Oryctolagus cuniculus: one gene and its partner. Each later gene encodes a partner of the first gene's protein in a complex. Links are inferred from orthologs where the notes say so. Each region holds a gene or a part of one and is shown in the gene's direction. Other genes may lie near its edges. The genes, in order: DHDDS and NUS1.

The links.
Region 2: the proteins of DHDDS (region 1) and NUS1 are in contact, whole or in part, in a crystal structure (PDB 7PAX), measured with the Homo sapiens proteins. The link is inferred for Oryctolagus cuniculus from reciprocal best matches to the Homo sapiens genes DHDDS and NUS1. Residues at the interface, in NP_995583.1 of Homo sapiens: Arg37, Arg38, Glu81, Asn82, Lys84, Arg85, Arg159, His160, Ile162, Ser163, Val166, Arg167, Met169, Ala170, Trp171, Val173, Glu174, Pro180, Ser181, Ile183, Ser184, Glu185, Leu188, His199, Glu209, Val210, Arg211, Leu212, Ser213, Asp214; in NP_612468.1 of Homo sapiens: His137, Gln138, Pro193, Glu194, Lys197, Ala198, Ile200, Val201, Ala204, Gln205, Phe207, Cys208, Gln209, Val211, Ala212, Arg217, Pro218, Thr219, Leu221, Asp222, Val223, Leu226, Asp237, Pro246, Val247, Asp248, Ser249, Thr250, Leu251, Gly252.

What each region holds. Positions count from the first base shown.
Region 1 is NC_091438.1:145,068,347-145,072,720, reverse strand, and holds the start of DHDDS (dehydrodolichyl diphosphate synthase complex subunit DHDDS), read left to right. Parts: upstream 1-1,553; 5' UTR 1,554-1,681; intron 1,682-2,145; 5' UTR 2,146-2,200; coding exon 2,201-2,263; intron 2,264-4,182; coding exon 4,183-4,299; intron 4,300-4,374. UniProt on the Homo sapiens protein: With NUS1, forms the dehydrodolichyl diphosphate synthase (DDS) complex, an essential component of the dolichol monophosphate (Dol-P) biosynthetic machinery.
Region 2 is NC_091436.1:52,669,857-52,673,666, reverse strand, and holds part of NUS1 (dehydrodolichyl diphosphate synthase complex subunit NUS1), read left to right. Parts: intron 1-16; coding exon 17-142; intron 143-1,385; coding exon 1,386-1,535; intron 1,536-3,810. UniProt on the Homo sapiens protein: With DHDDS, forms the dehydrodolichyl diphosphate synthase (DDS) complex, an essential component of the dolichol monophosphate (Dol-P) biosynthetic machinery.

The sequences.
Region 1 (4,374 bases):
TTAGAGGCTTGGCATGCATAAGAATGGGGTTGCCTGTGCCACTGGCTGGGATGAAAGGATGGGGCCTTGGCTTGGGGCATGAGACCCTAATAATAGTCCCCTACTCCTCAAAGCCCTTTACAAATCGTAATTAATTAACCCCTGCAGCACCCCAAGGAATGGAAATATGTGGAGCTGGGGAAGTTGAGGCCAGAGGAGATTCACTGACTTGATTTAGACAACATTCTCTTTGAGTCAACGTTTGCTAGCCTTCTAATGAACACTGAGTTTTTAAACATTCATCTCCCCCGAGGGGAAGGAGGATTTAAAAAGGATAAAACTTAATTGGAGGCAAACCAAGTATTAACACAAAGTGCAAGGAAACAGAGAAACTGGATTAAATCCTCGAGCCCTGGCAACATTACCAGAGTGAGGGTAGGAAGCTTCCTATCAACTCCAGGGACTTTGTGGCCCCTTAACTAATTGTACCCAGAGTCAGAGGTGACAGTGGATGCTCACAGCCAGCAAACCACTGAGCTTCAGTAAATATTCTTGGAAAACGCAAATAAGCGAGGCTGAAATTTGCTCCTAGGTTGCAAAGCCAGGACGGGAAATGTTCACGGGCGGGTTACTTTTCTCTAGGGCTTTCTTCAAGTATGTTACTCCATACATGACCCTTTCATCGGGGAGTGGAAGGCACACAGTGGCTATGGGATGGACGGTGTGCAACAACTGCTTGATGAGATGAGCCATGCGAAGTGAGAGGCGGACGGTCCTTTGAAAATTCTGTCACCTACGCAAATCATCCATATGGAGGTTGCGCTATGAGTTAAAAGAAAAATACTGGTCGCATGAGATTCTGTAAAGTTTTTTTCCCGTTTTTATTTGAGGAAGTCGAAGTAGCAATTTCTCCTGTGACTCAGTTCTTAAGATTCATGCACCATTTTCTAAAAGCTCTTAAAGCCCTCCCTCCGATCTCTTTAAAAAAAGGATGGGTACAGAGCTGACGCCGATTTTGTCTCCGTTAAATAATGACCTGGGTTTTGCAGAACTCCTTGTAGCCTTACCTCTTGTAGGAACCTGTAAATCCTACCATCTGGGTGCCCTAAAGCAGCACAAAATGGACGGACATTCAGCGCCCCTGTAAGACTAACTGGGGCTAGCAACTGGTTCCCAAACTAAGCACAGAGCAGAAGTATGACTTAAGGCTTGTACCAGGGCTTCTAACGAAGTCAGACCTGCGGCTTCCCAACGTAGTGCCCGGCTACAGAACGACGTCAGCGGCCTAGGGGCGCCTCAACTTGCGAGGCGGGATCCCCTTCGTGCTTAGCTGACGGCACGTTTGCCGGAGGCCGTCCGATCTGGTCCGCAGGCCTCTCGCCTCCCCCTGCCGGGCTGGACCCAGCCTTCCCCAATGCACGGCCCGAAGCCCGGCCGGCCGCCCGCCCGCCCCTGCTCCGTCACGTGGGCTCAGCTTCCACCCTCGCCGCCGCCCGCCGCCAGCGGACGAACGCGCACTGCAGGGCCACAGAGCTCCCGCCGCTCCTTCCACTACCCGGCAGGCGCAGGGCCACGCCCCGCCCATTGGCTGGCGGGAGGAGCGTGGCCCAGCGCGCTGCGATGACGTGGTCTTTCAGCGCCGTGTCGTGAGGAAGTGTCGGCCCACTGGAGCCGTTGGAAGAAGCCCAGCGGAGCGGATCAGGTGGTGGGAGGAAGGGGTGAAACGGAGGAGAGGGAGATGGCTGGGCGGGGAGGCAGCTGCGGGAAGGATCGAGGGACAGCCGAGGGAACAGAAAATTACAATACCAGTGAAGTAGGAGGTAGCGAGTGCCGCAACTGCACGGGTTGGTGACTGGGAGCGCAGAATGGGAAATGACTTGGGGGAAGATGGAGGAGGACGCGGCGAATGATCGAGACGTAGGCGCCGTGATGTGGCAGCAAGCAGATGTAGATGTTCAGAAGAAGTGAGTGCAGATAATGAGGAAAATGGCCAGGGGCCAAGGTGCACGAAGCCAGGAGAACCGGAGAGGTCTCATTGGCCGGTGCAGTTCTACGTAAGATTCTCGTGCTAGTCGCGCTGTGCAGTCGGGGATCAATCTCGAGAAATCCGCTGTAGCTGTTTGCAAGCCCTGGTGACGTCTCCCTCTCTTTTCTTGTTTATGCAAGGTTTCCAGACTGGTGTCTTGTTATTCTGGGGTGATCCTCTGACCGGGCGAGAACTATGTCATGGATCAAGGAAGGAGAACTGTCCCTTTGGGAGCGGTTCTGTGCCAACATCATAAAGGTGAGCAGTGGGCCAGAGCACCGGTGGACCTTCTGGTCGTGTGCATAGTCTTGCACCAAAACCTGTTGTTGAATCTGAGCAATGCATGATGTGAAGTGGAACTCAGCAAAGGAACCAAAGAGCATTAAAACTGCAAGGTAACTTCAGATGGCTGTGTCCGCGGATTTTTGTCCTAACTGGGAGCCGGGGTGAGCAGAGACTGTTAGATGTTAGATTTGTTTCTCTGTACGTTGAATCATTGATCCTAGTACCATATGCTGGATTTTTAAAAATTTACTTTTAATTTTTCAATTTATTACTTATTTGAGAGAGAGGGAGGGAGAGGAAGCTTCCGCCTGCTGATTCACTCCCCCACTGCCTGCAGTGGCCAAGGCTGGACTGGTGAAGCCTGAATCTCAGTTCAGGTCTCCCACGTGGCAGGAACTGATGACTTAGCTGTTCCTTTTGCCTCGCAGGTCTGTGTTAGCAGGAAGTCAGACTCTTGAGCCAGAGCTGGCGTCAAACCCAGGTTCTCCGGTCTGGGATGCAGGTGTCTTAACTGCTCTGGATTTAGATGGAAAACTAATCCCCATTTTTGCTTACTGCTCTGAGCCAGATACGTTTTCTTGCTCTGATATACTTACTGAAGGTTATATTTTTATGAAAACCCTGATGTTTGATTCTCTGTAAAATCAGAAGATCCGAAGCACATTGAGTCTCAGGCCCCGGGTGGCATTAGTTGGTTAGGCCTGAGAAGTGGGTGCACCGATTGTGTGTGTGGAAGACGCCTTCTGTGTTGACTGTGCCTGTCAGCATCCTTCCTTTGCCTCCTGGTTGAGGTCCAAGCGAATCGCAGTGGTGGTGAAGAGCATATGATTTTTTAAAAAAGATTTATTTATGCATTTGAAAGGTAGAGTTCCAGAGAGGGAAGGAGAAAGAGAGACAGATCTTCCATCTATGGTTTATTCCCTAAATGGCCTCAATGACTGGGGCTGGTCCAGGCCAAAGCCATCAGCCTGGAACTCCTTCCTGGTCTCCCACTTGGGTAGCAGGCAGCCAAGTGCTTGGGCCATCCTCTGCTGCTTTCCCTGCATTAGCAGGGAGCTGGATCAGAAGTGGAGCGGCTGGAACTCAGACTGGAGCTCACATGGGATGCCAGCGTCACAGGTGGTGACTTAGTCCACTGTACTACAATGCTGGCCTCAAAAGCATATTGTTAAAGATGAACTCTGGGCCGGCGCTGCGGCTCACTAGGCTAATCCTCTGCCTGCGGCGCGGCACTCTGGGTTCTAGTCCTGGTTGGGGCGCCAGTTCTGTCCCGGTTGCTCCTCTTCCAGTCCAGCTCTCTGCTGTGGTCCGGGAGTGCAGTGGAGGATGGCCCAAGTGCTTGGGCCCTGCACCCGCATGGGAGACCGGGAGGAAGCACCTGACTCCTGGCTTCGGATCAATACAGCGCGCCGGCCATAGCAGCCATTTTGGGGGTGAACCAACAGAGGGAAGACCTTTCTCTGTTTCTCTCTAACTCCGCCCGTCAAAAAAAAAAAAAAAAAAAAAGATGAACTCTGGAAGCAGACAGACTGTAGTGTGAATGTCTACTTTGCATCTTCTGAGCTGTTTGACTTGTGCAAATCACTTGATCTCAGTGAGCCCAGTTTTTTATCTATAAAACTGATGTGATACCATTTACCTTATAGAGTTGTAAGATAGATGAAGTAGGAAGAGCCCAGTTTAGTATTTGGCATGTAATAAGTCCTCAATAAATATATAAATAAAAACAAATGAAAGTGCCGAATGCTCTTTTATTGAGCTACAAGTGTGAAATGTCTAATTCTGTTCCCCAGCAATTTTATCATATAGCCCAACCCTGTCAGCCTGAGGGATAGTGCTCCCCTCATCCCCAGAGAATAGGAGATCTGTTCATCCGTCTTCTTGTCCCACAGGCAGGCCCCATGCCCAAACACATCGCATTCATAATGGATGGGAACCGCCGTTATGCCAAGAAGTGCCAGGTGGAGCGGCAGGAGGGCCACTCTCAAGGCTTCAACAAGCTGGCTGAGGTGGGTGTGGGTGGCAGAACCCAACGTGAACAATCCATAGAGGACTGGGCTCTGGGTTTGCTATGGTCTGAGTGT
Region 2 (3,810 bases), on another chromosome or scaffold:
TAGTTTTCTTTTTAAGGTATTTTCAAAAGAAACAATTCCAGACTGATGGATGAAATTTTAAAACAGCAACAGGAACTTCTGGGCCTGGATTGTTCCAAATACTCAACAGAGTTTGCAAATAGTAATGACAAAGATGATCAAGGTAAGCATGAATGTAAAATTGAATATGCAGCATATGAAGTTAGGTGTTTTACAATTCAAAGCAAGTCTGTTACTCAGTCCTTTATTCGTTCATTTTGCCCTGTTAGTCTTGTTCTCAGTATCTTTACTTAATTTTTATGTATTTATTTATGTATTTGAGCTGTAGAGAGAGACAGACTCTCATCTGTTCTCATCTAGTGGTTCACTCCCTAAATATCCATAACAGCCAGGACTGGGCCACAGTGAAGTCAGGAGTCAGAAACTCAGTTCAGTTCTCCCTCCTGAGCTATCACCTGATGCCTTCCAGGGTCTTTATTAGTAGGAAGCTGGAATCAGCAGTGGAGTTAGAACTCAAACCCAGACAGTCCCATATGGGATGCAGATGTCTCAATTGGCATCTTCACTGCTAGTCCAGACTCCCCACCAGTCTCAACATCTTTAGTCATCAGATTGAGACTTTTTCTCCTTTATCTTATTAAAAGATAATCAGAAAAAGATAAAATAATAACTCATGTAAATATTAAAAAGTGAACACATGATAAAGATTTTATTTAATTGGGCAGATTTTTTTATAACTCATTCAACAGATAATCCAAAGAACAGTCACGTTTATACATCAGGAAATAGAGTGAATATCTAAGTAGAGACAAAACTGGTTTTCCTGTGAGATGAGAGGAAAGATAATTGAACCTCTACCTGACAGGAAAGATAGTGCATTTTTATAGAAAAGAATTTTACATTATTATCAGTTCTTTAGAGTTCTGTCAATTGCAATATAGATCCCAGAGAATCAGAAATAGATAATGAATATGTGTGTATGTGTACACTCTAGACAATGCATACATTCTCCACTGAAACACAATTTTTTCTACAATCTTTATTTTTTCTTTTATTCTGTATATTACTGTTAATTTTGCAATGATTGTAGATGGAATTTTAGGTGAGTAAAAGTCATCTACCTTATAATTAAATCTTCTATTTTCTGGAGAATTTAGCCACAATAAAAGGTCCTCTTGAGCCCTTTGAAAATAAGACAGTATGAAAATATATACATAAATGTGATTTGGGGTGCATCTGGCCTTTGAAAGGAGAATAGTTAAGTACATTTGATACTGAAATTGAAGGGTTTAAGTGATTCTTTACTGTAAGAACTTTCAAAACCTTAACTGTTTCTTTTAAAACTGGTTTTGACATATTTGGAAGAGAGTGTTTTTAAAAATAAATTTGTTTGTTTTTTCCTCCAGTTTTAAATTGCCATTCAGCAGTGAAGGTGCTGTCCCCAGAAGATGGAAAAGCAGATATTGTGAGAGCTGCTCAGGACTTTTGCCAGTTAGTAGCCCAGCAGCAAAAGAAATCCACAGATTTGGATGTAGATATGTTAGACAGTTTACTTAGTAAGTCATGTATGTGTATGTGTGTGTGTGTACATTTTAAATTTTATAACATAAAGATACAGTATGAAAGAAATATTAAGATCCTTTTATACTATAACATTTGATTTTGTTGTTGCTGTACTCTTCATACTTCTGAAATTTAAAGACCCACATGTAAAATGGTTTTGGGATAATGTAATTGTGGTCAGCTTACTTGTGTGAGGATTTCATGGTAAAGGAAAGGCCAGCCTGCCTGCCTGCCTTCCTTCTTTCCTTGAACTTCCTTTCCTTCTTTCCTTCTTTTTCCTTCTCTTTATTTTCTTTATTTTTGCAGTAAGGAGCATTCTTTTTTTTTTTTTTTTTTTTTTTTTTTTGACAGGCAGAGTGGACAGTGAGAGAGAGGGAGAGACAGAGAGAAAGGTCTTCCTTTGCTGTTGGTTCACCCTCCAGTGGCCGCCCCGGCCGGCGCACCGCGCTGATCCGAAGGCAGGAGCCAGGTGCTTCTCCTGGTCTCCCAAATGGTGCAGGGCCCAAGCACCTGGGCCATCCTCCACTGTACTTCCGGGCCATAGCAGAGAGCTGGCCTGGAAGGGGGGCAACCGGGACAGAATCCGGCACCCCGACCGGGACTAGAACCTGGTGTGCCGGCGCCGCTAGGTGGAGGATTAGCCTATTGAGCTGCAGCGCCAGCCAGGAGTATTCTTAAAAATAGGACTTCTGTTAGCCTTTCTGTCTGTCTCAACCCCCTTTTTAGTTTGAACTTTCTAACAGGTTTGAACTTAACAACTTTTTGTGAGGCACTCCCAAGAATATAATCTTAGCATACATGACTCCTTTTTAAGTGTTTCTTTTTTTCTATTATGCTGTACCAAATATACTCCCCTGAATTTGGCATGTCATACCAAATATAGCTTTTTTTCCTTCAACTATTTATAAAGCCTTTTGTGTACTTACTCTTTCTAGAGCCTGTCCAGGAACTTTTAACTTCATGGTCCTTCTGCTTTCAAGCATTATCTTGAACCTTTTGCAGAAAAGCAGTCTCTCTAGCAAAGTCAAGTTCATGGATATCTTCTACAGCCATATGATCTCAGACATTGGTTTTTTTCATTTACATAGACCCTCCATTTACCTTATTAATCATGCATTTTCTGTATCAGTTATTTACATAACTCTTCATTCTTTGACTCTTTTACTTTGGCGTGTCGATCATGGAACACAGATTCTGGCCTCTTAGTCTTACTAACTTCGTACTTTCACTGACTACTCCTTCCTTTACTCTTGTGTTCTTTACTCTGATGTTGTCTGTGTTCAGGCTTGCTGAGTGTAAAAGATTGTGTGGGCACTCTTACTAGAGATTACTGAGATGTTGACTGTTTCTTGGACTCTGTGAAGCCCTGGAGTGATTTGTGAAGACATTCTAAAAGGTGGCCTGGAGCCCAAAGGTTTTGCTTCAGGGCTTGTAAATTCACAATAAATGAAATTAAGCCCAGTCCTTACATTAACTCATTAATCTGGGAGAAGCAAACACTCTACCATCACCCCAAAAAGTTCCCTTGTACTGCATTGGGTCCCCACATTGGTTGGTTGTCTTTCTGGAGATACTTTTGCCTTTTATAGAAATTTTATATCAAAGGAATCATATTATAGATAATCTTTTATGTCTTACTTTGTTAGCATAATAATTTTGAGGTTCATCAATGTTGAATGTCTTAATTTATTACTTTTGTTAATAGGAAGTAGTCTATTTTATGGATAGACCACAATTTGTTTACTCATTCTTCAGTTGATGCACATTTTATTTGTTTCCAGTTGTTGTTTTTTTTTAAGATTTACTTATTTACTTGAAAGGCAAAGTTACACAGAGGGAAGGAGCGAGAGAGAAAGAAAGAGTGAGATTTCCCATCTGCTGGTTCACTCTCCCAAATTGCTGCAAGGACCAGGGTGGAGCAGGCTAAAGCCAGGAACCTGGACCTCCATCCAGGTCTCCCACATGGTTGACAGGGCCCAAGTACTTGGGCCATCTTCTCTGCTTTCCAGACACATCAACAGAGAGCCTGACTAGAAGTGGAACAGCTGGGACTCGAACCAGTACCCATATAGGATGCCAGCATCACAGGGGTGGCTTAACCTTGTTTACCACAGTGCTGCCCATTTCCAATTTTTGAATAACATTGCTGTGCTGTGACTGTGACTGTGTGCAAGTCTTTGTGTGGACATGTTTCTTTCTCTTATTGGATAGATATTTAATAGTGGGATTTCTGTGTCGTATGGAAGTGAATGTTTAATTTTTTAAGAA